Drosophila melanogaster: one gene and its partner. The protein of the gene in region 1 interacts with the protein of each later gene in a biochemical or structural test. Each region holds a gene or a part of one and is shown on either strand. Other genes may lie near its edges. The genes, in order: Ten-m and Pgant3.

Region 1 (5,244 bases):
TCGAAATTAGTTGCGTGTTTCTCGTCTTTTTTGCCATCAACTTGTGCATTATGACGGCGGGGCTTGTGATTGGATTTGGAGGCCATCTGGAGTTGGACTCGAACCTGGCTGCGGTTGGCTTTTAATAATGCAAAGTGGCCGATTTTTTCGACCTAATTTGGCTAATTGGCAGGCCGACAAATAAAGCATTGAGACATTGAAATTTCGGTGCTTCAGCTTCGAGCGGATTTTCACACATCAACACAGCTTCAAAGTGGGGGAGGCAAAGAATTTTCCGCTGCTTCTCCGTCTTTCCTGTTTTGGCTTTTTGGCAATTTTATGACAGGCACTGGGGAGCAGGAAGGCGGGAAAAGCTGCTGCCTGGTGAAGTGTTGAAAATTTACGAGCTCCGCCCCGCCCCAATCGCACCCCCCTGGCCCACTTTATTCAATTTCATTTCTTGCGCCAAAGCTGAAAAGAAATTCTGCAAAAGTCTTCGGGTCTCAGGAATTTATTGTTTGCCAGTTACGAAATTTATTTGTTGCTGTAAATTTACAATTCTTTCGCCGCTGCCAGGTAGCCCAACCCAAACACCCACACGTTCGTGTGCTCCAGGTTCGATTTCCATTTGATTTTTATTTCGTTTCAAAGCTCCAATTGTTTGGCAATTGTTTTTATAACACCACAAAAACGCTGAAAGGCAGGAGAAGAGCAAGCGCGGCTGCGGTGGGATGGCTTCGATGAGGATGAAGAAGATGAGGAGCGGAAAATGGGCACCGGAGCTCAAAAGGGAAATGCCAGAAATAAAGTTATGTAAGTCCGCATTATGTGTAAGTTCAAATGCCAAGAAGCAGAGTCGGAAATAATAAAACTGAAGCATGTCGGAGCATGTATTTGTGTTTAGGTTGCTCGTGGTCGAGGTCCAGGGATCGAAAATATTGGATAGGTCTGGGAGTGGCCATGAAGACGCTACGAGGAGGCTGGCTGAAATCGATAATAGCAGCGAACTAACATAATCTAGAGTTAAATACGTGAACTATTGTCATCAAAACAATAGTTAAAAGTAAAGAATCTAAAATTCTGTTCTCATATTAAGAGGGTATCCAAGTAACTACGATTTTCATTCAAAATCTATATCAACATAACTTAGTGCCCTGATTTCTGTCAGTGTACAATCAGGCAGGCTACTGTAACCCAACTCCTCTCAGAAGTCTCGAGCATTTTCCAGCCGCAGGCATTTTTTCACAGAGCGGGGACATCGTCTGGGATTCCCCCTAATTCCTGTCGGCTGACAGAGAGTATCCTTTTCAACTGCGCTTTGTGCGCTGGCTATTGTGGCTCTCGCTTTATTAATCAGACAAATCGTGAAAAAACGCGCTCAGTCGGAAAAAGGGAAATTATGAAATGCGAAACAAGAGCGGGCTCAATGTCAGGCGAAGTCCAAATCCCACTCCCATTGGGACTGCCGCCTTAATTTGTTTAATTTAGGCAAAATGTTTGGCCGCATTCGCCGATAAGGGGCGTAATTTGTTCAAACTTGTCGCAACTTGCTGGAATTCGCAACCCGCACGATTTTGTCACCGAAAAAAGGAATAATTTCTGTAACTAGCAGATGACACGGTAGCTCACTTGAATTGCGTTTGAGAAACATTGGAATCCTTTTGCACATACATAATTTGCTTTTAACTTTTTGACTAATACTAAAAATACACAAATGCCAAGTAGCAATGAATGGTTTTAGAACCAGTCTATCCTCTCTCAACGTACGTAGCTAATAACCAAATGTTCTCCATTTTCTTAAAATATTGATATCAATTAGCTCATTTGATTTAGGCACGTCTGTCAAAGAATTCGGTGATGTATACGAAAGCGATGGAAAACGGATCTCAGTATGTTTAAGCAGCATGGTACTCTTATCAGAAACGCTTTTATATTTTTCACTGATTTCCAAACATAATTTAAGTTACAAATTCATTTAATCCAATTTATGCATTGTAAAGTATTTCCGCACATCCTAAACTTTTTTAAATCACTTCCAGACGCTCTATTTGGGCCACTAAATTCCGGAGTTGTAGCTTTCGGTTTGATTCCACTGACCACACTGCCCACTGGGGTCGGCATACTCACTCACCTTGTCTTCCGTGTGTCCGCTGCGCTGTGTTGTTGGCCGTGTCCGGCGGACGGTGGGCCAAGTGCTGGTACTCGTAGTCGTAGTGGGACGACTGGGCGGCGGCTTGGGCGGCCTGCAGGTTCTGTTGGTTTTGGTGCTGGAGCGTCTGGCTGCCGTGGACCGGACCGAGGTCCGTCGTCGGCCGCCCGTGGCCGCTCATGGGGAGCGTACGTCCTTGGGCGTGTGGGTGGGCGTGAGCCGGAGTGGGGCCGCCGCCCACGTCGCGGCAGTCTAGAGTCGACTCATACTCGTAGGGATTCATGGCGGTCGCCTCCAGCGGACATTCGTCGTCGTCCGTGTCCGTGCCGCCGTCGTAGATGTTGTCCGTGTGGCGGTACGCGTGATGGGCGTGCTGCTTTGAGAACTTAATCTTGGCGGCTTGGGGGCTTTTGGCCAGACAGCCGGACAGGAGAAGAAGAAGAGGAGGAGGACTCCGCACGGGAGCAGGAAGAAGAGACTTGGTATGCGTTTGGCTACTCGCGATTATTCATGCACTTGCTGATGCGGATGCGGCTGCGGATGGCACTGGACGCACTGCACTCAAAAACATTTCTACTGGGCCATTTCCAGACGGTTAATCTGCGGGCGGGCTGCTGGTCCCAGCTCAATCACAATCTGCCGCCGAGGCCGCAATAATATTTCTTGGGCCTTTTCAGTAGTCGTACACTGAAAACACGGGACACACACGATGGGGAGCACAGGAACGCGACGGGAAAAACGGTGTTTTTGAATTGACGCGGTGTGTTTGTTTGCGCGACGATCGTAAAACTATGTCAGAATTCGTTAGACGCAGGTATCATTCGCTGCCTGATTCCCGACGATTTTCTATATTTTTCGACTGAAGCAACGCGCTGTTTTCGCTACTTTTCGTATATCCACATTTTCCGCGACGACAATTCCGACCGTGCGAGGCGAATTTCAAAAGACGAATGAGCTCAAAACGAACGACGAACCGAGTCTGTGGGAGAGAGAGAGAGAGCTAGAGAGCGCAAGTCGCTGCAAATATGAGAGAAAAACAATATGCTTCATATTCTCTCTTTTTCAGTTAAAATGCGTCGCTCTCTCATTTATTCTGATACTGCGCATGATTTGTGAGAGAGAGAGCGGTCGCGCACCAGCGTTGTCCATTTAGCTAATTTGCTGATAGTCTGGCCTTAGCTGGAAATATAGCTATTTTGCTAGAATAATAGGTGCTACTTATGTAGTTTAGGTTAATTTAATTGCAAAAGAATCACTCCGAATCATATAGATTTCCAGTCTATGACAGCGTTATAGAAAAAGATATGCAAGGAAATATAATAATATACTTTTAATACTCTTGTGCTTCTGTTAAGTTACCATCAATATTTGTTCTCAATGGTATGTTTAGCCTTTTTATAACCAGAAGAGTATGCAGCACTCAAATGAGAGCACTCATCGAATCTCTGGTTTGAAGGTTAAAAAGTGCGTTTCGTTTGGCTAAGGGGAAATGGATGTACAGCGGATTCGAATCTATCGTGCTGCACGCCAGTTTCGTTAAGATTATCTGAGGCGGCCAACAGCGCTGTAATAACAGCTTCACCGGCGGCTAACACCGACACTGTTAATTTTATTACAAAACTGTTAACCGGTTTACATAAAAGTGCGTATACGTATACCATATACCATATACCATAAAATATCAATGTAAATGTGGAGGTATTTAAGTTATTAGGTACAAACTTTAAAAGATAGCTTAGTTTATTCTTTATTATATATATTATATATTATATAATATATATTATTTATTATTATATATATATTATATATTCTCTTTATATATTGCCCTAAAATATCTAGGTTTTCCAAAACCTCCGAAAACTTTTAACTTTCAGCTTGCATTGAATAAATTGCAGGTTACACAAAAATATTAAAAACTACATTTTTAAAAACAATGGAATTTGTATTTCAAGGTATCTGAACCTCCTGTGGCCTGGGAATTACACAAAACAGTTTTTCATTTACTAATTATGCTGTCAGATTCTGTGGAGCATTTTCACGCAGCCAAAAAATATCCTCAGACTTCATTAGCGCTAGAAAAGTTAGTCAGTGGCGGCGAGGGGAGGCGAAAAAGTTTCAAATCGCTGACAAGTGAAGTTGTCATTCAGCACCCAAGCCAGAACCGAGCGGACCTGGCCAAAAAGTGTCCGAAACAAACAATGGTGGCCAGCGTGGGGTGGGTAGGTGATGAGGGGGCCATGGCCGAGAAAAGAAGCAGAAAATTGCGTTATAAGCAAAGTAAAGGACATTTCGCTAATGGCTTAACTTTTGAACGCAGGTCTCATCCTGCCGCCTCCACCGACCGCCCCCTAGCCCGTCGTGCAGGCAATTCTCTGCCATGTAGCGGAAGTTGTTGCTGAAGCTTTTTTGACAGCTTTCCCAGCACGAGAAGGATACGGCGGGGAAGAAGAAGAGATGCCGGAGAAATTGTCATTTCTTTTCCGAGTCTCGCAATGTGGCAACGCCGCGTGACGCAAATTTTTTTGTAGTCTGAAAGTATTTGCATAGGATATGGAGTCTTGCTTTCCCGATTTTCTTTGCTGTCGATGAAAAATCAATTTCCTGTTGTATGCAAAAATGTTTGAGCATCATTCAAGAAAGGGAGAGAAGCGTTGCTCGCCTGCACTTGACACATTGAATATTATCAGGAGGATGTGGATTCCGAGGGGGAATGTGACTTCTGATTTGGCTAGTTGTCGTAGGTTTCGATCTGAGTCTTCGTACAGGAACAAACATTCTTGGCTTGTTGTGCATATATTTAATTAAGGGGCAATGGATTAAACCTTTGCAGTTTTTTGAAGTTGAACCATTTGGGTTAACATTCAAAAATAACTCAAAAATGGCTTAATTCATTGGCTGTGTCTACCTTTTTATACCTTTTTTTTAATTATACTAGCTTGTAACTATTATAAGCAGCATCTACGATTCCCCAAAGAACAGCGAATTTCAACAGTAGAATGTGATAGTTTTTTGGTGGCTTAAGCAGCGTTGAGGGACTTCACAAACCGGATAAAGTGTCAAATTTCTATTCCGGCCACTGTAACTTCCTCCGTTTGTTATGCTTGTACTAGTTGCTT
Region 2 (6,837 bases), on another chromosome or scaffold:
GGTGGACACTCTGCAATGCCTGATAACACTACTATTAATTAATCGCTTCGAATATGAATAAGCTAAGTAATACCTTGAGAACGTACATTTAATACCCATTGATCGCCCCCATTTATTTTTCTTACGTCGCATGCTAAATATGTCCACCTGAATCACACCCTGCCCATAGATATTCCCTCGCTGTTTTGGTAGGTGAACCAATATCGAGCGAATTTCCATGCTCAAGTGCTCATCAAATACAACAATTAGGCAGGGAGCGACCCTAGTCACAACGCTCGCCAGTGGATGGGAACCCAGCTCTTTGCGGAGAGCCTTATCAGCCCACAGGCCGGGTGCTTTTGATAACTCTAAGCCTCATTGGACTGCGCCGTTTGGCGTTTGCTGTTTGGTTTTTGGTTTTTGGTGTTGGGCGCTGCCTTTCAGTTGATTTCCGATAGCGAGTGCGAGTGTGGGCCAAACCGACATCAAGACACCTGAAAATCCACCAAAATGAGCTGCGGCACGAAGGCATTGAAGGTGTCCTCCTTCGTTTTGGACTTTCTGTGCTGTGTGAGTTGTTATCACCAAATCGCCAACTGATAGTATATTGTTATATGCCTCCTCTCTCTATCACTCATAGGTTCTGGCGGCACTGACCATCGCGGCTTGCTCCTATGCCCTGATTGCTTTTAGCCACAGCGTAGCCATCCGGGTGCCCAGCATCCTGGGCATCGTCCTGGGCGGCCTGCTGTTCTTCAGCACGATCTTCGGCTGCATTGCTGCCCTGCGGGAGAGTATTCGCATGACCTGGATCGTGAGTAGCGCTCTATCTAGTACCTAGTGGCCAGGTGACCTCCAATATTAACTCGACCGTCTTGCTTCGCCCAAAAGTATGCCGCAATACTGCTGGCCCTGGTTTTCAGTCAGATCACCGTCATCTTGGCCCAACCCATCAACTATGAGCTGCTGGCCAACGAGACCATTTACGACGCCTGGCAGGGACAACTTTACCACTCGGACAGAATGTCCTACTTTGAGATCAAGGTGAGCTATGTAGGGATCCTTGGAACCTTCTCCATATATAGCAGACATGAGTTCCATTTTCACTTTCTCGGAAAAGGCATTAGGAAAATGGTATCAGTTGGCTTTTTTTTTGAAATTTTATCGAAATCATTTCGCAAGCTTGTTATCTTTGTTTAACCAAGTACTAAACGGCTTTTCTTTTAGTATCACTGCTGCGGACAGACGGGGCCCGCAAACTATCCGGATAGTGGCCTGGTGATTCCGCAAAGCTGCTACTTCAACCAGAACGCCACGGTGACTACGGATCTCTATACGGTTGGGTGTAACCATCAGTTGGCAGCGGCCTTCGTCAAGGGAACTCGCTGGGAGAAGATCACGGATTGGTCCGTTGTGGGTGTGGAGGTAACTGAATCCGATCACTTGCGATCCTTCAACTCATATTCCAAATGCTCCTCAGATACTCACTGTCATCATCGCCGGACTCCTGGCTATAACCTTACAGAATGCCGAGCGCCGCCGTCTTTACCGATAAAAGCTGGCCTTAAGTTTCTACCAAAAGTATTAGAACTGTACGAATGTGAAAGTGTTCCTAATTATATGAGGGAGTAGTTGCCAAAACATGAATACATTAAATTGGTAACGTTAATATATTTCAACCGTATTTAAATTGCTCAATACAAAATTTCAGAATGTATGCAAGCACTTTTATAAAATTAGTCACACTTAAACCGATTCGTGGTACATTTGGAATGTTGTGTCGCTTTCGACGTCTGGGTCTAAGCTGTTTTTATGTGCAATACTATGTATAAGAAAAGTATGATTATATATTTAACAAGTCTATGAAGCTTATTAAGAAAATAAACAATTTAATGCTTAGTATATTTCAAGTTGCAGTTAGGTTAAATTTGCTTAACAGACTTAAATTTGCATAAGATTTAAAATCGATATCAATGCGCGCCGATACATTTCTTTTTCACCACAGCTATCGAGCCAGTGAAAACAGCTGCTTGCTCACAAGTGCTGCTACGGTGCTGCTAAAATATTTTAAAATTAAACACACGACTCACATCTCATTTCATTTGTACACAAAGAAAAATATCGCAGAACAAGTCTATGTTAAGCGTTTAAATAATGTGCATATAATTAAAACATGTTTTACCTACCATACCGAAGCACCTTATTGAGGCGAACAAACTCTTGATCCATCTGGAAAATAGCCAGACTTACAGCGCTTCTGGTTTCGAACTACTGGTTCCGTGAACTGTTGTCAAAAGTAATGAAATGCTGGAGAAAGCAGTAGAATGATAAGTTTAGGCCGTATTTGCACAATTACTGAGTAACTAGTGACAGCCGAACAAGCGCCATGTATTCATAAGCACCTGCCGCGCACCTGCCAATTCGAATTTAAAGCGGCCCCGGAGCAGAAGCGACGCATTTCTTCGCCGAGCGTCCGCAGAGTCGTCGGATCGGATCGGATCGGTTTGGATTGGATTGGTGACTAAAACAGTTGGACAACAACAGCGGCTTGATTAGTTGGCAGTAAACAGAGCTACCGAACGCACCGGTCATTCACTCCGCACCGTTTTGACCAGAAGCAGTTCCAGTATTGGTAGCCAATAAGCCACAGCAATGGGTCTCCGGTTCCAGCAGCTGAAGAAGCTCTGGCTGCTCTACCTTTTCCTGCTCTTCTTCGCGTTCTTCATGTTCGCCATCAGCATCAACCTGTACGTGGCCAGCATCCAGGGCGGGGACGCGGAGATGCGGTGAGTAGTTGGCCCGGTAATTAACAATGGGCCCATTAGGACGCGCCGCTCGGATTGCACAACTTCCCCTGGGGCCCAAATGGGTTGCAAAATGCAAGTGTTCCAGTCGAGTGCCTCGCCTCCGCGTTTTTTAGCTTCGATTGCCGAGGCACTTTGCATTCGATTTGGGTCTTGGGTCTCTGTTTGTTTTGACATCGCTTCGCGTGATTCGATGGGCCATTGTAAATGCTAAGTCTTAATATCGCTCCATTGTCACATCTTGGCTCATTTGGCTATTGTGGATCACTATGCCGATTTCCCGCACAGTCATCCGAAACCGCCGCCCAAGCGCCGCTCCCTCTGGCCGCACAAAAACATCGTGGCCCACTACATCGGCAAGGGAGACATCTTTGGCAACATGACAGCAGGTGAGTGAGATGGTTCCACCTAATCATCATCAGTTAAGATTGGTCATTGGGGTAATAAAACAGTTTATTTGTCTTTTATCATTCCCAGTTACCCTTAGTCATCAATAATAGACAGTGCCATTAAATGGCATTTCATTTTACCCTCTGCACAATTGGTTTAGGTGCTCGGGAAATATTTAAGACTTCTTTAATTACCTTAGTATCATTTTACTTTCGACGCATTAGGGAAGAACTGACGAACTTTGTTTTGAAACTACAACCTTAGTTGCACCATCGTTGATGGAAAATACCTAAAGAGAGTTTCCCTCAAATGACACAACATCAAAATGCATTAATCCCCACTCGCTTGCAGATGATTACAACATCAACCTGTTCCAGCCCATCAACGGAGAAGGTGCCGATGGGCGACCAGTTGTGGTGCCGCCTCGCGATCGCTTTCGCATGCAGCGCTTTTTCCGGCTAAACAGCTTCAACCTGCTGGCCAGCGACCGCATCCCACTGAACCGCACCCTCAAGGACTACCGCACACCTGAGCAAGTATAAGCCTTAGCTTACTGAGAACCTTTTCTAATGCATTTCTTCTCCTGCGCAGATGCCGCGACAAGAAGTACGCCAGCGGTCTACCCAGCACGTCGGTTATAATTGTTTTCCACAACGAGGCCTGGTCCGTGCTCCTGCGAACCATCACCAGCGTCATCAACCGGTCGCCGCGCCACCTGCTTAAGGAAATTATCCTGGTGGACGATGCCAGCGATCGCTGTAAGTCTGCATAGTATAATCAACGTATATTCCGAGAATTCCATCTGTGTGCAATAGTATTGTCGACCTTGGGCGAAGCTTCTTAATTTTGTATTACCTAAAGGACATTTGGTTCTATTGCCTGCGTACTATTCCCGCGAATGGTTTCAGTCTACTCCACCAAACGAAACTCCTAAGAATGCAATATATTTAATTTGTAAAACATAGTTTTGGGATGATTCACAATATTTGTTTCTTATCTTGAAAACGGTCAGTGTATAAGTTTACGTTGATTCATTAAAAGTAAATTCTTTGTCTAACATGCTAGAAAGTTAAAACTACGAAGTAATAAAAGAATCGTAACTCTTGGAATTTACATATAAATGACATACATTATGCGTATCTGTATATAAAACTTTCCTAATCAAATGTTCTTCCAAAGCATATTTAAAACGTCAACTGGAGAGCTATGTGAAAGTGCTGGCGGTACCCACGAGGATCTTTCGCATGAAGAAGCGAAGTGGCTTAGTGCCTGCCCGCCTTTTGGGAGCCGAAAATGCTCGCGGCGATGTGCTGACCTTCCTCGACGCCCACTGCGAGTGCTCGCGGGGATGGCTGGAACCACTTCTTTCCCGCATTAAGGAATCACGCAAGGTGGTAATCTGCCCGGTAATCGACATAATATCCGATGACAACTTTAGCTACACAAAAACCTTCGAGAACCACTGGGGCGCTTTCAACTGGCAGCTGAGCTTCCGTTGGTTCTCCTCGGATCGTAAGCGGCAGACAGCGGGCAACAGCTCCAAGGATAGCACTGACCCGATTGCCACTCCCGGAATGGCCGGCGGATTGTTTGCTATCGATCGCAAGTACTTTTACGAAATGGGATCCTACGACAGCAACATGCGCGTTTGGGGCGGCGAGAATGTGGAAATGTCCTTCCGCATTTGGCAGTGCGGCGGTCGTGTGGAGATCAGTCCCTGCTCGCACGTGGGTCACGTGTTCCGCAGCAGCACGCCCTACACCTTCCCCGGCGGCATGAGCGAGGTTCTCACGGATAATTTGGCCAGGGCCGCCACCGTCTGGATGGACGATTGGCAGTACTTTATAATGCTGTACACCTCTGGACTGACGCTGGGAGCCAAGGACAAGGTGAATGTTACGGAGCGTGTGGCGCTCAGGGAGAGGCTCCAGTGCAAACCGTTCTCCTGGTATCTGGAGAACATATGGCCAGAGCACTTCTTTCCAGCTCCCGACCGCTTTTTCGGCAAGATCATATGGCTGGACGGGGAGACAGAATGTGCCCAGGCCTACAGCAAGCACATGAAGAACCTACCAGGTCGTGCTTTGTCACGAGAGTGGAAGCGAGCGTTCGAGGAAATCGACAGCAAGGCGGAGGAGCTGATGGCGCTGATCGATCTGGAGCGGGACAAGTGCCTTCGCCCCCTCAAAGAGGATGTGCCGCGCTCATCATTGTCTGCAGTAACCGTAGGCGATTGCACATCTCACGCCCAGTCGATGGATATGTTTGTAATAACTCCGAAGGGCCAGATCATGACTAACGACAACGTCTGCCTGACCTATCGACAGCAAAAGCTGGGTGTGATCAAGATGCTAAAGAACCGCAACGCCACCACTTCGAATGTAATGCTGGCGCAGTGCGCTTCCGACTCGAGTCAGTTGTGGACCTACGACATGGATGTAAGTGTATCACAGCTACGATAATTGCATTAGTGCTAAAAATGTATTCCTCCACAGACTCAGCAAATATCTCATAGGGACACAAAGCTCTGCCTTACTCTGAAAGCGGCGACTAACTCGCGTCTCCAAAAGGTCGAGAAGGTTGTGCTCAGTATGGAATGCGACTTCAAAGACATCACACAGAAGTGGGGCTTCATACCACTGCCATGGCGCATGTAGAGAGTAGGATGTCATGCCGGTGCCAGGACATTTAATCCAATAACCCTGCCAGCAACTTTTTAACGCAATGTGATATTTATTGAAATTGTTTTAACGAAATTCACTCGTTAATTTGTTTATGTGAACAGTAACCAACCCACAAGCACACGAACTTCAGACACCTGCAGTCCTGTTGTCTAACAAAGCCTGATTTCACTGTCGCAATTTAATATTTAACTGCGCGTAAACATGAGCAGCAGCAACATATGTGTGACAGTGGAACCAGTCTTTACCAAACAATCGTACACCGATACAGACCCACTTGAATTGTTTTTAAAACACACTAACCGAATGCGTGGGAGAGCTTTTCTCCCCCCACGCATTGCGACTCTATCAATCTAGATAGCATAGTGGTATGCTATATCTACGTCATATTTATTAAGAAGAGTTAGAAAATTTTTAGCTGTACTTACTAACCTCGACCTTAATTTTTATATCACTTGAATAAAGCAATCGAATGTAGAGAAAGCTTCGTTGCAATCTGTTTCTCTTTCCCTGACTTCTTATCGCTGGCCCCTGGGAAAGGTCGCAATGCACTCGCTTTAAATTTGGCGCATCTGCCGCAGATTACACCACTCTCGCGATGAACGGCTGCTATAACACAATAAAGTACACGGGCCTGCTCTCAAATCTGCTCTATATGGTAAGTCGTACTCTTGCAACTTACTCTGGGTAAATTGTTTATAATCGTTGGCGTTGCAGCTACTCGGCATAGGAGTGATGTCTGGAGCAGGACTAGGACTGCAGATGGCGGAGCCCAATACGCCAGAGCACACTTATTTCGTGAAGAGCTTGGTCTTGGGTGGCTCCATTTGCATGATCGTGATGTTCGGATGCTATGGCATGGTCGCCAACTTGCTTTGTGTCAATCTGATTGTAAGCGAAAGGAAAGAGCGAATCCTGAATATGGATTACTATCCATAACTAACTGAACTCTCCCCACAGTTCACCATGTTCATACTGATCGC

The links.
Region 2: of the proteins of Ten-m (region 1) and Pgant3, one has a biochemical effect on the other in vitro, tested with the Drosophila melanogaster proteins (one study listed by BioGRID).

The regions. Positions count from the first base shown.
Region 1 is NT_037436.4:22,404,782-22,410,025, forward strand, and holds the start of Ten-m (tenascin major), read right to left. Parts: upstream 3,083-5,244; 5' UTR 2,412-3,082; coding exon 2,111-2,411; intron 1-2,110. UniProt on the Drosophila melanogaster protein: Involved in neural development, regulating the establishment of proper connectivity within the nervous system. Acts as a homophilic and heterophilic synaptic cell adhesion molecule that drives synapse assembly.
Region 2 is NT_033778.4:7,057,151-7,063,987, reverse strand, and holds Pgant3 (polypeptide N-Acetylgalactosaminyltransferase 3), read left to right. Parts: upstream 1-2,255; 5' UTR 2,256-2,631; coding exon 2,632-2,765; intron 2,766-3,071; coding exon 3,072-3,172; intron 3,173-3,524; coding exon 3,525-3,705; intron 3,706-3,764; coding exon 3,765-3,931; intron 3,932-4,352; coding exon 4,353-5,611; intron 5,612-5,668; coding exon 5,669-5,830; 3' UTR 5,831-6,334; downstream 6,335-6,837. Other genes in the region: Tsp42Eq (tetraspanin 42Eq), read left to right, coding at 490-549, 620-793, 871-1,023, 1,207-1,404, 1,460-1,534; Tsp42Ep (tetraspanin 42Ep), read left to right, coding at 6,453-6,512, 6,572-6,745, 6,815-6,837. UniProt on the Drosophila melanogaster protein: Catalyzes the initial reaction in O-linked oligosaccharide biosynthesis, the transfer of an N-acetyl-D-galactosamine residue to a serine or threonine residue on the protein receptor.